Macaca mulatta: one gene and its partner. The protein of the gene in region 1 interacts with the protein of each later gene in a pairwise test. Links are inferred from orthologs where the notes say so. Each region holds a gene or a part of one and is shown on either strand. Other genes may lie near its edges. The genes, in order: PAK1 and RHOJ.

Evidence for each region.
Region 2: the proteins of PAK1 (region 1) and RHOJ interact in binary tests that used the Homo sapiens proteins (3 or more experiments, as listed by UniProt). The link is inferred for Macaca mulatta from reciprocal best matches to the Homo sapiens genes PAK1 and RHOJ.

The regions. Positions count from the first base shown.
Region 1 is NC_133419.1:77,744,979-77,748,643, forward strand, and holds part of PAK1 (serine/threonine-protein kinase PAK 1), read right to left. Parts: intron 3,132-3,665; coding exon 2,994-3,131; intron 2,265-2,993; coding exon of another isoform or gene 2,211-2,264; exon of another isoform or gene 2,199-2,210; intron 1-2,198. UniProt on the Homo sapiens protein: Protein kinase involved in intracellular signaling pathways downstream of integrins and receptor-type kinases that plays an important role in cytoskeleton dynamics, in cell adhesion, migration, proliferation, apoptosis, mitosis, and in vesicle-mediated transport processes.
Region 2 is NC_133412.1:136,279,701-136,283,621, forward strand, and holds the start of RHOJ (rho-related GTP-binding protein RhoJ), read left to right. Parts: upstream 1-1,271; 5' UTR 1,272-1,681; coding exon 1,682-1,859; intron 1,860-3,921.

The DNA of each region.
Region 1 (3,665 bases):
GAGAATTTTTTCAACTTCTGTTGGGACAGAGATAGTATAAAGAGCTACTGAGAACAAGAAGGTACTATTACTATGAAAGGAATAAAAGATCCTAGCTAAATCATGAAGATAGGAATTCCAATATATATCATCCTATGTATTTCTGTCCATAAGTGTGTTCTCACAGGAGAAACAGATGTGAAGCTTTTATGATTTACGATTCTCAAAGTCATGGTTTTCAATATTTACAATGTACACGAACAAGTTAAAAAGCCAGCTTTCTCAGATCACATGTTTCTACAATTCCCCTAAGTTGAGAGCAGCATGATCCAACACCGAACTGGAAGGCCTCAGTTTCCTTCTCTGTCTAATAAACAAAACAGACTAGATGAGCCCTAAGGGCTTTCCAGTTGTGATACTCTTTGAGCCTGTAAGAGCAGTGGCCAAGAGCATACACACTTCGGAGCCAAACAGGCTGAAATCCTGGATCTGCCACATATCAGCTATCATGGAAAAGTTACTAAATACTTGAAACCTCAGTTTCCTCATCTGTAAAAATGAGAATAACAGAACCTATAACTCATAGAGTTGTTGTGAAGGACAATATATAAAGTGCTTATTAGTGCCTAAATATATAAAGTGTTTAGTGCCTAAAATATGGTAAAGATTCAATATAATGCATTTATTACTAGTTATATTACTGTATCAGGAAGAAAACTTTAGAGGGCACTAACCTTTCAAGAACTATAGTTTGGTACTTAATTAAGAATGGTATCTTTACTAATCATAGGCTTAGCATATCGTATTTACACATTTCCCAGTGCCTACAGTTTGCAGAATACAACTCTCATGAACAGCAAAAGGGGTCCTACATTGTACTAAGAGACTTTTAGTCCCAACAGATACTAGAGACTAATGGGTTACACTTGGCAGAACCCAGATCTCATATCTAATAGGCCAGTACTCCATAATCAGTAACCTCAATTACAAAGAGATGATAAATATGTTCCAGAGGATGATATTCCAATGTAGGTTCTTCCAGCAATTTCATTCAATTCAATAAATATTTTTTGAGTACCTATCCTAAGTCAGGTTCTAGGTAAAACAAGAAACTCAGGGATTAATAAAATAGAGGTTATAATCCAGTAGGAAAGATTCATAATTAACACAGGGCAGTATGCTAGGTCCTGCCCTGCCCTGCCCTGCTCTGTCACTCCTGGGCTTTATAATACGAAAATAAATGACAGTGCATGCCTTCATAAAGTTGCACATGATACTTACTATTAAATCACTAGTGGGCAATACAATAAAAGAACACTTGTTATAAGAAATTGTACTGGAAACAAATATGTTAAATACAAATGACGTGGCCTGCTAAAGGCAATTTTTTCAACCATGTAAAATTATCAGGATTAGGGGGGTGGGAGTATAAAAGGCCTGGTAAACCCCTGACTCCGGGTTTCTCCACAAACTGGCAAAATCTCACTCTCAACAAGTAGAGTATCATTGCCATTATCTGAGGATTTCCAGTGAAGAAAGTATAGACTCCAAAAGCCATACTCACTAATTATCTTCTAAACTTATGTTCCATGGATGGGCATGGTGGCTCATGCCATGCCTGTAATTCCACACTTTGGGAGGCTATAGCGGGCAGATCGTTTGAGCCCAGCCTGAGCAACATGGCAAAACCCTGTCTTTACAGAAAATATAAAAATTAGGCAGGTATGGTGGTGCACGCTTGTAGTCCCACCTACTCTGGAGGCTAAAGTGGGAGGATCAGCAGAACCTGGGGAGGCTGGGGCTGCAGTGAGCCATGACTGCACCACTGCACTCCAGCCTGGGCAACAGACAGAGATCCTGTCTCAAAAAATAAAACATAAATAAAATAAAATAAACGTATGTTCCTTTGCTAAAAATGTATCCTTTGAGCTAATCCCAGCAAAAATATAACTTGCGTAAGATTTGGATGTCAGAGAGCCATTTCTCAACAAGACTCAAACAAACTCTGCCAGACTAATTCAAACAGAACAAAGGATGTGCTAATGAAAGATACAAGCAGGCCGGGCATGGTGGCTCATAACTGTAGTCCCAGCACTTTGGGAAACCGAGGTGGTCACATCGCTTGAACCCAGGAATTTGAGACCAGCCTAGCTAACACAGCAAAACCGCGTCTCTACAAAAAACTTTTTAAAAAATTAGCCCGGTATGGTGGCATGTACCTGTAGTCCCAGCTACTTGGGAGGCTGAGGTGGGAAGATCACTTGAGTGAACCCAGGAGAGGAAAACTGCAGTGAGACAAAATCACACCATTGTACACTCCTGCCCGGGTGACAGAGTGAGACCCTGTGGGGAGGTGAGAGTAAGGGAGGGGGGAAGGGAAAGGGGAGGGGGAGGGGGAGGGAGAGGGAGAGGAAAGGAAAGGAAAGGAAAGGAAAGGAAAGGAAAGGAAAGGAAAGGAAAGGAAAGGAAAGGAAAGGAAAGGAAAGGAAAGGAAGGAAGGAAGGAAAGGGAAAGGAAGGAAAAGGAAAGAAAAGAAAGGGAAAGGAAGAAGAAAAGAAAGAAAGGAAAGAAAGGAAAGGAAAAGGAAGGAGGGAGGAAGGGAGGAAGGGAGGAAGGGAGGGAGGGAGGAAGGGAGGATGGGAGGGAGGGAGGGAGGGAGCGAGGGAGGGAGGGAGGAAGGAAGGAAGGAAGGAAGGAAGGAAGGAAGGAAGGAAGGAAGGAAGGAAGGAAGGAAGCAAGCTACAAGCAAAGCTCAATAGGTGCTCAGAAAATGATTGTAAACTGAGCCTAGGAGAATGTGTAGAGTTTTAACAGGCCAAGAAAGAGGCTAAGAAAATAAATAAGCAAAGCCCCAGGGATAAAAGTTAGAGCAGTAGGAACAGAGTGAGGGTAGGAAATGGTAAAAGAGAAGCCTAGTTCTATAATATCCAGTACCTTACAGACAAACATGAAGTAAAAAAGGCCTGGTTTAGTGATTCCCTGAATTAGGTGCTTCCCTGCACAGGGACAGTTACCTGCAGCAGCTCTTTAGCTGAACCTCTCTTCTCCACATCCATCTCAAGACAGCGGTTCAGAAAGTCCCGGAAGATAGCTGACAGCTTCTCTGGGTTCTGAAGTTCTGGGGTCCCATTGGTGGCAATGAGGTACAAGGCCTGGCAATAAAAATGGTGAATCACCTTGAACTCCAACTGAGGCTCTCTCTTGTTCTCCATATACACATTCTAGAAATATGGTCAGCTGCTTTATGCTCTAGGATGCAAAGTAGCAGCTGTGTATATATACTGGAAAGAGTATGACCTAAGGATCAGGCTGAACATTTAAAGGCCATGAGACTATGTGCAACTTCCCTATCTGTAAAGTAAGGATGATGATAATGCCCATCTCACATATCTGTAAAAATAAGATAGTGTATTTGAAAGTACTTTGTAAACTTACGAAATATGTTACAGACCTAAGGGTTTATTATTATTATTATTATTATTTTTTTTTTTTTTTTGAGACAGAGTCTCGCTCTGTCGCCCAGGCTGGAGTGTAGTGGCAAGATCTTGGCTCACTGTAACCTCCACCTCCTGGCTTCAAGCGATTCTCCTGCCTCAGCCTCGCAAGTAGCTGGGATTACAGGTGCCCACCACTACACTCGGCTACTTTTTGTATTTTTAGTAGAGACAGGGTTTCACCATGTTGGC
Region 2 (3,921 bases), on another chromosome or scaffold:
ACACCATAACCTGACTGAAACACCATCTGTTTATAGGAAAGAAAGGCTTGGACACTAAGCACTATGATAAATGCTACTATAATCCCAAACAGAAGAAACTTAAGACTATACCTACTATATGGCAGCATATAGATGATATGTGGGTATATCTATAACAGACTTTTCTCCCATCTCACCCCTCACCAAAAAAAACAAAGACAAAAAACTTCTCAAACAATTGGATAATCTGAATTCTTCAAAATCAATGTTCGAAAACTGAAAGTGAAAAAAACAGAGTTCCCTCATTTTGACCCATTTGTCAAAAATCATTTGCAGACTTCCACTTCTTTTCTAAGACCAAGCACATTAATCAAATACAGAGCTTCAAAGGGGCTTCATTTTGAGTGACGGAACAGACAAATAAATTAGCTGCCCATGGCTCCTTTGTAATTGAAGAGGACCAGTCTGACCCAAGGGGAGAAGACTAAATCAAAAAGCAAAACATCCAAGTAAAAACAACATCGAGGGCCTTAAACAAACCAAAAAGCCATCCTATACCCTCTCGTGTCCAAGGGTGTTATGTATGAGCCAAGCACGTGTGTGTTCATCCACTATATAAGAGAATGCAAACATCCCACATGTGATTGATTTCTTATGTGCTACCATCATAAAAATAAGTTTGTGTCTGGAATACATATTCCAGACATGTGGCAGTTTATAAACCTGATCATGCATGTTACACCTACAACTTACAAACATTTTTCTCTTTGAAATGATGTGACTCTAGAAGGTTTTCTTCTTTATTTCTGGGAAGAATCGCTTCAAGTTTCTCATTTAAGTAAGTAAAGAACTGCTCGTTTTTAGTTTGAAGAGCTTTTAACTAGTGACTCAGTGAAGAGTGATGTCATATGTTATCCTAGGACTGCTGGTGTGGTTCTCTCTGCTCATTCTAACCATTCCCCCTGTTTCTGTGGCAGGCAGTAATCCCCGGTTTCCATCCTCTAGTCAGCTTCTTCCCAGCCAGCCATAAGCGAACAGCCTCACAAGCAGCGGATGAAACAGGAAGTCTGACAGCTTGAGTCTGCAGTGGGACCCCTAGTGTTTTCCCACTCCATGTCCTGGCATCGTTCCCCAGAAGTACAAACACACACACACACAGAGCTCCCATTGTTGCAGCCTTCCTCAGCCCACTGATCCTAATATGGAATGCAGCAGGAAACCCATGATTTCCTGACACTCGGCAAGCTGGAGGAAGCAAGGGGAAAAAACTCCATTAAAAAGCCCAGCTTTCCTCCATGTTAGATGTGACTTGGAAAATGAGAAAGATTTAGCAAAATTCCACCGTGTCTTTTGCCAGGCTGGAGACAGGGAGAGCAGAGTAAAACCCTCAGGCTGCTGAAATTTCTAGGCTGTGAGGAAGCCCCTCAAATTCTGTGAAAATAAGGGTTTCTTAACTCACACTGAGAACGGAAAGGGGCAGACCCTTTTCATAACTCCCCCAAGTGTGTGTTACCTTTCTTTACCAGCATGGTAAGCAACAGGGCATATCCCAGCCTCGGACATGTCTGTATGATCCAAGGTACCCAAAGTCAGACAGAGTAAATTCAAGCCTGGCACTGGCTTTCCGCCGCTTCATGTGCTTTGGAAGAAGCAGGAGAAGCAACAGCAGCAGCAGGAGTCCCCAGCAGCTGGAGCCGCAAGAATGAACTGCAAAGAGGGAACTGACGGCAGCTGCGGCTGCAGGGGCAACGACGAGAAGAAGATGTTGAAGTGTGTAGTGGTGGGGGACGGTGCCGTGGGGAAAACCTGCCTGCTGATGAGCTACGCCAACGATGCCTTCCCAGAGGAATACGTGCCCACTGTGTTTGACCACTATGCAGGTAAGAAAAAGTGGGAAACTCTCTGCATCCAGATAAACGATGCAGGAGGCGATACCTTAAGTTCAGAGGGGCCTGGCTCATTTCTAATGTCAGTATTGGGTGCGGGCCTGGCAGTAACCAGGGAGTTTAGCATAGTGTACAACCCAGGACTTGACTGTTGGTAGAACAATTTGTGCATCAATTTGTATGGTAACACTTTTTCTCCCTTAAAGCGAATGGGTAACGGCAGGAAAATACTCTGACGTGCCTTCTAGATTTGGGGGACAGAGATTTTACTCAACATTTGCCTTAAGATTCATTAAAGTTTTACTATGAACATTTTTAAATGCAGTGTAATTGCATCACAATTCTTTTCTGCCAAAAAAAGAACCACCACTAGACACACAAATGGTAAAAGGATTGTTCTTGCCGCTCTTTGCGTATTCACCTCATGCCATTTACAAATGAAAATGCTAAGATTAAGAAAACATTCATTTTTTCTAAAACAGTTGGTGCTGTAATACTATAGTTTTATTTTCCTGGGGTTGTAGATTGGGGGAGAGTTTTTAAAAGGTTCTAAATATGTATTAGGCAATCTGTATCTTAAAAGAAAAATGTTTAATTAACATGTTTTTAAAAGTAAAAATACAAATAAAATCTGAATTATTTTAAAGTATGTCCTGAAAGGACAAAATGCACATAAAATATTTTAAAGCATGGCAGTTAAGACACTGTAGTCACAACTTGCTGGGGACTTTTTATTTTTTGAGTGTTCTAAAGTTTGTAGGTGTACTTGTCTGGGTGATAGTATTATCTAAATTTTTCCATTTTGATTCTGACTTTTTCTCTTAATTTCCAAAACAAATTTTATTAAGTTTATCAAAAGCAAGTTAATGAAATTTTTCAAGCTTATAGTAGCTTACATTTTATAACTTTTTAATCATAACGATCTTTATCAGAGATCTGAGACCTTGTGAATGGAAAATTTCTCCTCCTTCATTTTGGCTTTGGGTCAGGTTCAGCAAAGGGGAAATGGCCCACAGGAAACCAGCATGAGTGTCTGCTTGGCAATGTGGCCATTTGAAATCCTCCTTCTATAGAAAGTAGCTTCTTTTCCAGAACTAAGCCATCACCTAAGTCACTGCTTCCCCCAACACTTATATGATGTATGAAAATATTACACAGCAGACAGGGAGAGAACCACAGTGAATACAGTATCCATCTCCCAGCAGGTTTTTCTATATTTGTAGAAATTAAGAGCAAATTTTAATGCTGGCTCACTTAAGCCTTTCTGAAAATATAATGACTCTGCCCAGAGAAGAACATTTTAATGAGAACAGAATAAAGAGAAGAACAGGTTGACTTTCATCTTGAGAAAAAAACTAATTATAAAATTTGAGGGTCTGCGCCTTGAGAAAGTTCCTCAGATTCTTGTCCTGAAAGCATCTTAGCAAAAGTTATTTATTCTACACCTTCTTTCTGCCAAAAAAGGGAAAGTGGCTACCTTATTTCAGAAACTTTTAAATCAAAGGTAGAACTCAAAATCTAAAGGGAGAGGCTTCAAATGCTTATGAAAATTATGTATCCAAATCCCCATGTATTCGGGGAGCCAGTTACAGTATGGTATCAGGAAAAAGGAGAATCAAGTCAGCTATAAAAAAAACCACACTAGAAATCAAACAAAGGCTGAACCACAGCTAGATTCCACTAGGCTCCAATAATTTTATATTTTAATTATGTACATACTTACTATTGTTGAGCATTAAAGAATCTTAAAGATTTTGGCTAGTCTATTATTTTAGCTCCCAAGAAATCACAGCCACTATACTCAGAGCAATACTTTGCACATAGTAAGCATTCCTAAACATGGTTACTTTGATGTACACTTTGTACCTCAAGTGTGTAATCATCTCATGTGCTTTCAGTAAGGTTAAAAAGAGAATGAAGACATGAGCCACATACATCTAGGACTGTAATGAAGTCGTCTTTTTTTTTTTTTTTTTTTTTTTTTTTTTTTTTTTTTGAGACAGAGTCTTGCTCTGTCACCCAGGCTGGAGTACAGTGACGTGATCTTGGCTCACTG